Arabidopsis thaliana: one gene and its partner. The protein of the gene in region 1 interacts with the protein of each later gene in a pairwise test. Each region holds a gene or a part of one and is shown on either strand. Other genes may lie near its edges. The genes, in order: OEP16-3 and TIM23-2.

Evidence for each region.
Region 2: the proteins of OEP16-3 (region 1) and TIM23-2 interact in a two-hybrid assay, tested with the Arabidopsis thaliana proteins (one study listed by BioGRID).

Annotation. Positions count from the first base shown.
Region 1 is NC_003071.7:17,588,016-17,592,365, reverse strand, and holds OEP16-3 (Mitochondrial import inner membrane translocase subunit Tim17/Tim22/Tim23 family protein), read right to left. Parts: upstream 2,116-4,350; 5' UTR 1,767-2,115; coding exon 1,394-1,766; intron 924-1,393; coding exon 775-923; 3' UTR 514-774; downstream 1-513. Other genes in the region: AT2G42220 (Rhodanese/Cell cycle control phosphatase superfamily protein), read right to left, coding at 1-96, 215-261; SPL9 (squamosa promoter binding protein-like 9), read right to left, coding at 2,915-3,537, 3,614-3,759. UniProt on the Arabidopsis thaliana protein: Voltage-dependent high-conductance channel with a slight cation-selectivity; selective for amino acids but excludes triosephosphates or uncharged sugars.
Region 2 is NC_003070.9:27,381,245-27,385,160, forward strand, and holds TIM23-2 (translocase inner membrane subunit 23-2), read left to right. Parts: upstream 1-2,120; 5' UTR 2,121-2,311; coding exon of another isoform or gene 2,312-2,332; coding exon 2,333-2,899; 3' UTR 2,900-3,280; downstream 3,281-3,916. Other genes in the region: AT1G72740 (Homeodomain-like/winged-helix DNA-binding family protein), read right to left, coding at 1-4, 462-546, 690-904, 1,294-1,443; AT1G72755 (uncharacterized protein), read right to left, coding at 2,312-2,339, 2,537-2,574. UniProt on the Arabidopsis thaliana protein: Essential component of the TIM17:23 complex, a complex that mediates the translocation of transit peptide-containing proteins across the mitochondrial inner membrane. Links the inner and outer membranes.

The DNA of each region.
Region 1 (4,350 bases):
TCCGCAGCAATTCTCAAGCTTCTCCGGCGGATAACGTTCCCGGAGACACTCTTTCCCGCCCAGCTCACTGCTTTCAGTCGCCTCCCACCGACATTACTGCATCAGAAATCGAAACTGTTAACTTTATCTTGTTTTGGACGAGAACTCGCCAAGATTAAACAACTTGGCGAATTATACAAAGGAGTCAACTTTCAGTTGAGGGAACTAGTATTACCTGGTGAAATAAAGAGCCGTAGGGCTAGGGCTTATGATCCCCGCCATTGCAGCAGAGGTCTCTAGGAAAAAAACTCGTCACTGTGATGCGATAGTTACTTGGACAAGAACCACTAGATTAGCCATACCACAAGGAAATTTAAGATAGCCAATGAGTTATTGCCACGTATTCACTCTACTTTTACATGTAGATCTCCAAATCCATATCATCTGATTGTTATACATGTTACATGTTTGTTTCCTTATGCTTGTCATGTTCAAATCTATTATAGTTTCAGATAAAGAAACTAGCTTGAGGTTAACAGAAGCAAGCAAATGTCTGATTAAAATGATTACTGAAAGCTAAAACATTTGTTTACATCTGCAGACAAAGTTGAATTTTTATTGCAGGAAACATTCAGACAAAAGATGTGAGAAAGTCGCTCTCAAGAAAACAAGAAGAAACAAGAGCAAAGAGTATCATGATATCACATATCCAGATAAAATAAACAAAAGAGATTATCTCAAGATCCCCGGATCAGCGAATGCACATCTTATTAATCTCAGTGACCAAAAGAGAAATCAGGAATCAGCTTCAGCTCTTTTCTCGACGGTGTAAGGATAGTATTCTCTGCCATTGTCTACTCTTGTGGTCTGACCTCCAGAATCAATCAAAGCAGAGGTAACAGCTAGTGTTGCACCTGCAGCTATCGCTGTCGGGATGCTCCTTGCTGTAAAAAAAGAGGAAAACCAAAGTAAACCAAATAACAATTAAGTATAGCATCATAAGAATGCACGAATCTATAGCATCATCTCTCACTCAAAGCTATGTACTTTCGATCTTTACATATATATGATTTTGAGAGTTTCCTGTATACACTCAATATCAAAGTCTTGACACTTGTGCTATCCTATAGAATTGCTACACTAGGCACCAAATAACATTAACTTGAGGTAAGGAAGAATCAATTTCTTCCCATTACAATTCCTTTAGTTACTCCCACTCGAGATCATTGTTTGTCCATCAATAACTACTAAGCTCGTAAAACACATGAAGTGAACTACATACTGCTAATTCCAGTAACTTCAAATGGTCTTCACCAAAATCACATCAGTTCTAAACTACTTAACCATCGAGACATTGTTTTATGCAAACACAATGAAAACGAACGAACCATGAGTGAAGAAGAAAAACCATTACCTCTATAGCCAAGCACAGAAGCTCCAGCGACAAAACCACCAATAGCACCATTGTAAAAATCTCTCTTGGATCTAAAATTCTGAACCAGCTGTTCAACACCGATGTAAACACCTCCTATAGCAGCAAAAGTCAGCCCATGGGTTCCCATCATCTTCAGTGTTCTAATAAGTCCTGGAAGAGCCACATTTCTCTCCACTCTTGGAACATCTTTCCATGTGGCTAAAATGGTTCCGTAAATAGTCCCAGCACCAAAACCAGTGATACTACCTTTGATTGTCTTCATCAACGGACCATCCTCTTCTTCCAAATATCTCATTTCAGCTGGATCCATGATTTCTTCTACTGTTCTACCTAACGCACACAAGTTAAACATTCAACAGAGAACAAGATCAATCAACAAAAATATAAAAATGTGATTTTTACAAGATGCGGATTTGAAAGAATTTCACCAAATTGAAGTTTTCAAAGTCGCGGTCTTTACAAAATTATAAACCCATTTTCCAGATCTTCAATATAATCTGGTTTAAAGACCCAAATAGAGACATTGGATTGAAACAAAAATTCCGAAACCTAGTTTGTGAAAGCATTGAGCTCATCAAAGTTGTAACACAAGGAAAATAATGGAATCCATCACTAACAATAGAAGAAATGTTACAGAAGACAACGAAGAGAGATTATTGAAGGATTCAGGAAAGTCTAACCTTTGGAATTCGAAGAAGCGAAGGATGAGAGCGATTCAGTGGAGGAGCTCAATGAAATATGTTTTGTTGTTGTTCTTCAGGAGACGAGTCAGTAGAGCCAGAGAAAGCCCAATTACAAGAATCATACGGAAATTCATGTGGGCCTCTTAGGGCCCATTATATAGCCCATTTATGATATTCTCTCTTCACGTCTCTGTAGCAAAGCTCTGACGACCATGAAAGATGATGAGAGATCTTTAGGAAGAAAGGTCTCTATCATCGTCTTACTTTTACTGTTTCTGACGAAAGATTTTTATAAAGATAAGAATCATATTTGAAAAGCTGCCATAGTTAAGTTGTCTTCTGATGAGTATATATGGTTCAAGTTTTTTGAGGTTTCATTTGGAAACAGGGGAGCTAAATCCATAAAGGACGAATCTTTGAAAGTGGGTGGTTAGGGTTTTGGGGAAAAAGCAGTTCACTTCGTTGGTCGATAGATCTCTGAGTCTAATTAAGTGTTTAAGATGTTGAGTTTGAGCAAAGCTGATGATAATGCTATGGCTTAAGCCTTAAGTTAAAAGGTAATGTTAGCTCCTGCTTTGACTAATATACTAGGATGATTATAGATTCATTATATGGAACCTTGATGTGCTAAAGAAATCAATCTGATCTCATAACTTGGATTTTCATGGAGATAAAACAACAAATCAAAATCAAAAGCCATTATCTGGCAACAATTGTCTGGTTTATTGATAGCAGATAACAGAATAAACAAAGAAGCAAAAAGATAAGATATTGCAGAATCGTTCATTGTAAGAAGATTCTCTGATGCAAAGACAAGTCAGAGAGACCAGTTGGTATGGTGAGAAGAAGAGTCATAAGCCCTTGTGTTCTCATCTTCCATGTACTGTCTCCTACTTTGATGATGGTGATCAGATAACTCGAACTCACCCATTGCCGTGCCACTACTTATCTGACAATTATCTGGCTCGGTGTATCGACCTAAATTCAAAACAGGAGACATATCATTATCATTGTCCTTGAATACCCAAGGCGGGTTCAGATACTGATGCTGGCTAGGTGCAGGTGGTGGTTGAGCCATTGTAACCGTCATCGGGCCAAAACCTGAAGAAGCTCGCCATGTATTGTTGTTGTTGTTGTTGTTGTTGTTGTTGTTGTTGTTGTTGTCATGTGGTTGATGTGGATTTGACAGAAGAGAGAGAGCACAGTTTGAGTCGCCAATTCCCTTGTAGCTCTCTAGTTTAGTGTCCATAATCTCTGGAGATGAGAAGCTTGTCCCTCCTCCACCAACTGAACCTTGACTAAATACATTCATTGGATTGATCTGCCATGACGGTGACGACACTGGCCGCCTCATCACTCTTGTATCCAATGTTCTTGAACTTGGCCATCCTATCTCTTGGTTCCCAAGAAAGCTTCCATTCATTCCAGCATCACCATTTTCTGTAGCATATACATCTATCTTTTAAGGATGAAAAGTACATGAATCGGTCTTATGTGTCGAGCTTAAGGATCTAACCGTAAAGCGAAGGTGCGATCCTCCCGTAACGAGAAGCTAACACAGAGAGAGACGCAGGCTGTGGCTTCCTTCGTCGCTCATTATGACCAGCGAGTCTCCTGCGGCAACTCCTTTTCTCTAGGTCAAATTCCGGAAGCTGATGAAACCTATGTGATTGATTCAGATTGAGTTAACTTCAAAGAAAAGCAACATAACAGAACATTCCAAAGACAAGACCTCTCCACGTTAACTACCGTTTGTATACATTCTATCAGTCATTATAAGCTTTTGTCATCAGTTTTGAATTAAAATCTAAAACCACACACTTGTAATATAATGTAACAGAGTTCCTCAATGATCACGTCAATGATGCTATGGTACACTAGTTTTGTCCCCCTCAATAATGATATGACCTAAAGAAGCAAAAATGAGGGCAACGGCTTTCTTCTTGTCCATTCATTTCATATCTCTTTGGATTAGATATTTAGAAAGACAAAATCAAAAGAAAAATAAAAGAGAAGCATCTACAAGTAGACGTAAACATATTCCCAAAAATGAGCCCAACGAGTCCAACAAACACAAGACCAGGTTACAAAACTAAGCTGTAAAGTTTTTTAAAAAATGAAAATAAAAAGACGTTAAAGCCAAAAAAGCATATGACACTGACAATCACAAAAAGCTAAAGCCTTTAGATTTGATTCACAACAGTGGAACAAGCAGAGCCTTGGCCGGACTCGAATATCTCCGGCAATGGCAAA
Region 2 (3,916 bases), on another chromosome or scaffold:
TGGGCTGCTCTTTCCACAGTAAACCATTGTTAGCACTCAGTCGTAAGGTCCAATACAAAAGCTATTATATAGCCAAATGTGATAAAAGAATAACAGAAAGTGACCAAATTTAAGTAAAATCAAGAGTTCTAACATTTTTTCAGATATGCATAGTGGACAGCTTCACGACAAGTATTATCATACTATAAAACGTCAAAGTACAAATAATTAGTAGTATAAGACTTTACATTTAGAACTCGGTGTTCTCATTTGAGAAGGACGAATCATCTAAGATTGCTGATAGTAGTAATAAGCCATTTGCACAAGTCAATGTAAGATAGAGTTTACACGTGCCAATAACATAACTATCCCTCCCACATATATAGATGATGTCTCTAATAATCTGTTAAGTAGTTTACAAAGCGAGCACATATAATTTTCTGATCTGTGCATAATAAATAGCAGAGAGAAATTTGTCAAACCTCAATGAAATGATAAATGGAACTGACATCAGATCCATTACCATCGGCTAAAGCAGAGAGAGCTTCAAATATCACCCCGTCATACCTGAAAATAGGGACATATCAGAAGTTTAGCAATACATGATGAAGATTATTACTCAGAGTTGATAGACTAGCATTTATGGAACTAGTCTCTCATCATACTTTCTGGCCTCAAGTATGAGAAATAGAGAACAAAGAAAGACAAACCTAGGAGCATTCTTTGTATTTTCATCAGGGATCAACTCAGAAGGTAAAGTACGCCGACCGGGAGGAGGTGGAATAGTAGGAATAGGCCGTGGAATAGTGACAGCATCATTTGCATCTGCAGCCGGAGTGTCGCCTTCCTCTTTGACTTTTGCTGGCCGTGCCTTATTAGTTAAACTTTGAGTACCAGGGGGAACACTCAAGTTACGCCACTTATCCTATTAAGTATTGAAACACACAAAATTTTCAAACTCTTCTTCATAAGACTACCACCAAGTAAAAGAAATCCATAGCAAAATGAAGGACAGTACTACTCTTTCCACCTCAAATCTCCAACTCAACCAAGCTAGCTTTAGGTATTGCACACTTGAATCAATAAAAAAAAAAACTTATAATCTATCCAAGGAATCTCTAATCCTATAACCAATGATAAGAGGCAACACTAATAAAACCTATTGCCAAAAGTTTTGATTTTTTATGGATCTTAAACTAAGCAGATACGACAGAGTACATAATGCACTCCGGGTTGGTCTCAAATTCGATGTCTAGGTTTAATATATGGTTCAACGAGAGTGATTTTAAAGAGGTGAGTGAAGAAAAGAGAAACCTTTAGGTCAATGTTGGAGCGATGGATGAGCTGATCAGCGAATTCTGGATCCCGGAGAATATTCTTCCACTTTCCAGGACCGTGCTTTCTGATTCCGGCGAGTAACGCCTCCTCTTCCTCCGCCGTCCACTTTAGTTTCTGGTTTCCCATCTAACCCTTGCGTGATTTACCTCGTGCTCTCTCTCTCTCTCCAAGACAATCGGCGTGTAAACGGAGTTAGACGCAGTCTCTTCGCCGTAGCTTTCGCCGGAGGTTTCGTTTATTTTTGGCTCTGCGCAGTTGTGTGACTGCGGGAGGAGGTTTCCAGTTTGCAAAACTTTTTCGATTATTTACTTCCGAATTTATGCTTTTTATTTTGTCTTCTATTTACGCTCTCGAAATTAAATCGAATTTTTTTTTTTGGCCTTTTGACTTAAATTAAAAACAAATAAGCTTTGTATTTGAATCCTTAATTATTTTATTTGAAGTTTAGTTCTCTAAATAAAAACTGATGACAAAAAAAATTCATAAAATTAGGTTCGTTCGTCGTAAAAATATTTCTGACATTATAAGAGAAACACCTGAAAATTCGAGGATGTTTGGTTGTCACGATGGATTGCAATTTTGCAAAGTAATTAAGTATGACTTTGAAAAGTCCAATGTTGAAGAGGTTAATTTTGTAAAAATTAAACTTATGGGGTCACATTCGAAATATCAGCAAATACAGTGTGTGGTGGTAAGAGAAAACCAACTTGGGTTTAAATAGAGAAAATAAAATAAATGGGGTTAAGTTCGAAATAAACGTAAACGCGAGTATTAAGCGAATCTGGTACTGCGCGTATCTGGAAACAACTGGACTGAGTCTTTCCCTAAAAACCCTAAACATAGATTTTTAGTTTAGTTTGGTTTCATTTCTCATTTCGGCAACCAAACCAAACATTCAGAGAGACACAACACAACCACATCATCACACGTTTCTCTCTCTCTCTTTCCTCTCCGTCGTCTCTCTCTCTCTAGCCACCACCAAAATCCTTAAAACCTAGACTTTTCTCTTCCATCGATGGCGGCTAATAACAGATCCGATCATGGGTCAGACGAAAACACAAGACTTTACAATCCTTACCAAAACTACGAAGTCCCAATCAACAAATCTCAGTACCTTTACAAGCTTCCTACCTCCCCTGAGTTTCTCTTCACGGAGGAGGCTTTAAGGCAACGTAGATCTTGGGGTGAGAATCTCACTTTCTACACCGGAACAGCTTACCTCGGTGGCTCCGTTGCCGGAGCTTCTGTTGGAGTCATCACTGGAGTCAAAAGCTTCGAATCTGGCGACACTACTAAGCTCAAAATCAACAGGATCTTGAACTCTTCTGGTCAAACTGGTCGAACTTGGGGTAATCGGATTGGTATCATTGGATTGGTTTACGCAGGGATCGAGAGTGGTATTGTGGCTGCCACGGATAGAGATGATGTTTGGACCAGTGTGGTGGCTGGTCTTGGAACCGGAGCTGTTTGTAGAGCGGCGAGAGGAGTGAGATCTGCAGCTGTAGCTGGTGCTCTTGGTGGACTTGCGGCTGGAGCTGTTGTAGCTGGGAAGCAAATTGTGAAGCGGTATGTGCCCATTTGAAGACTGCAAGAGTCTAATTGGCAGACTCTTTTTCGGGTCGTTGTTGAAATTTTTGATAGGGGAAATGGTGAGAATTTGATAGGTTTGGTATGTCTTGGAATCATAAAAATGAAAACTTTATTTGGTTTCTAGAGGTACAACAAGTCTGTATGTCAAGTCATAATGCAGTTTCACTTTGAAGAATAACCTGCAAACCTTTTTCTTATATTCATACTGATTAAATGTTTTGCCGATTGGTAATTTAATTTGTCATGAGTGTGTTTGTTCTAGTTAGTGTTTTATGTTTCTGTTTTTGATCAATGTTAACTCTTTCTTGATTCGTTGAGAAACTGATGTGTTGTATTACATTTGAAAATGAAGCTCTTCTCTCAAGTTTTTTCTTATCATTTTGTTAATTGGGATGGTGTAGTGTGTTCACATAATTGTATACCTCTGTTTATCTCATTGAGTACTAACCTGATATTTGATGGTGTTATTTTGTTACCTATTATATCCCCCTGGTTCTATTTCTCTGGACTGTTCTCTGCTCTTAGCTATTAATTTTGTCTCCAAGATTTCACAAGCTTATGATGATGGATCAGTCACTTTTGGTTTTGTGGTTTTTGGTTCTCAAGTCTCAGGCATATTGTGTAGCAAACCTTCTCTAAACTCTTACCGTCTCTAGACCTTATCAGCTGCTCTAAATGAAGAACAAATAGTGTCCTCTAATCTTTTTATTAAAGCCTTAAACTTTCAGTTTTGCAGCTTGCTTAGAATTTTTGTTTTGTTTCAGAAGATCATGTACCTGCAAAATGACATTTCGTCTGATTTCTTCATTCGAATGAGGGTCTTTACATCAATAAACAAGTCTTCTTTAAAGTGTAGAATTTTACATGAACAAAACTAAAAGAATGTTTCATATACAAAGATAAGGGAACTCCCCACACGCTATGGGAGATCACCCCACTGAACTCTGGAAGGAGCACAACTCATAAAAGACCAACCGTTGCCTTTGTACTTGCTTGTATGTGATCTTGG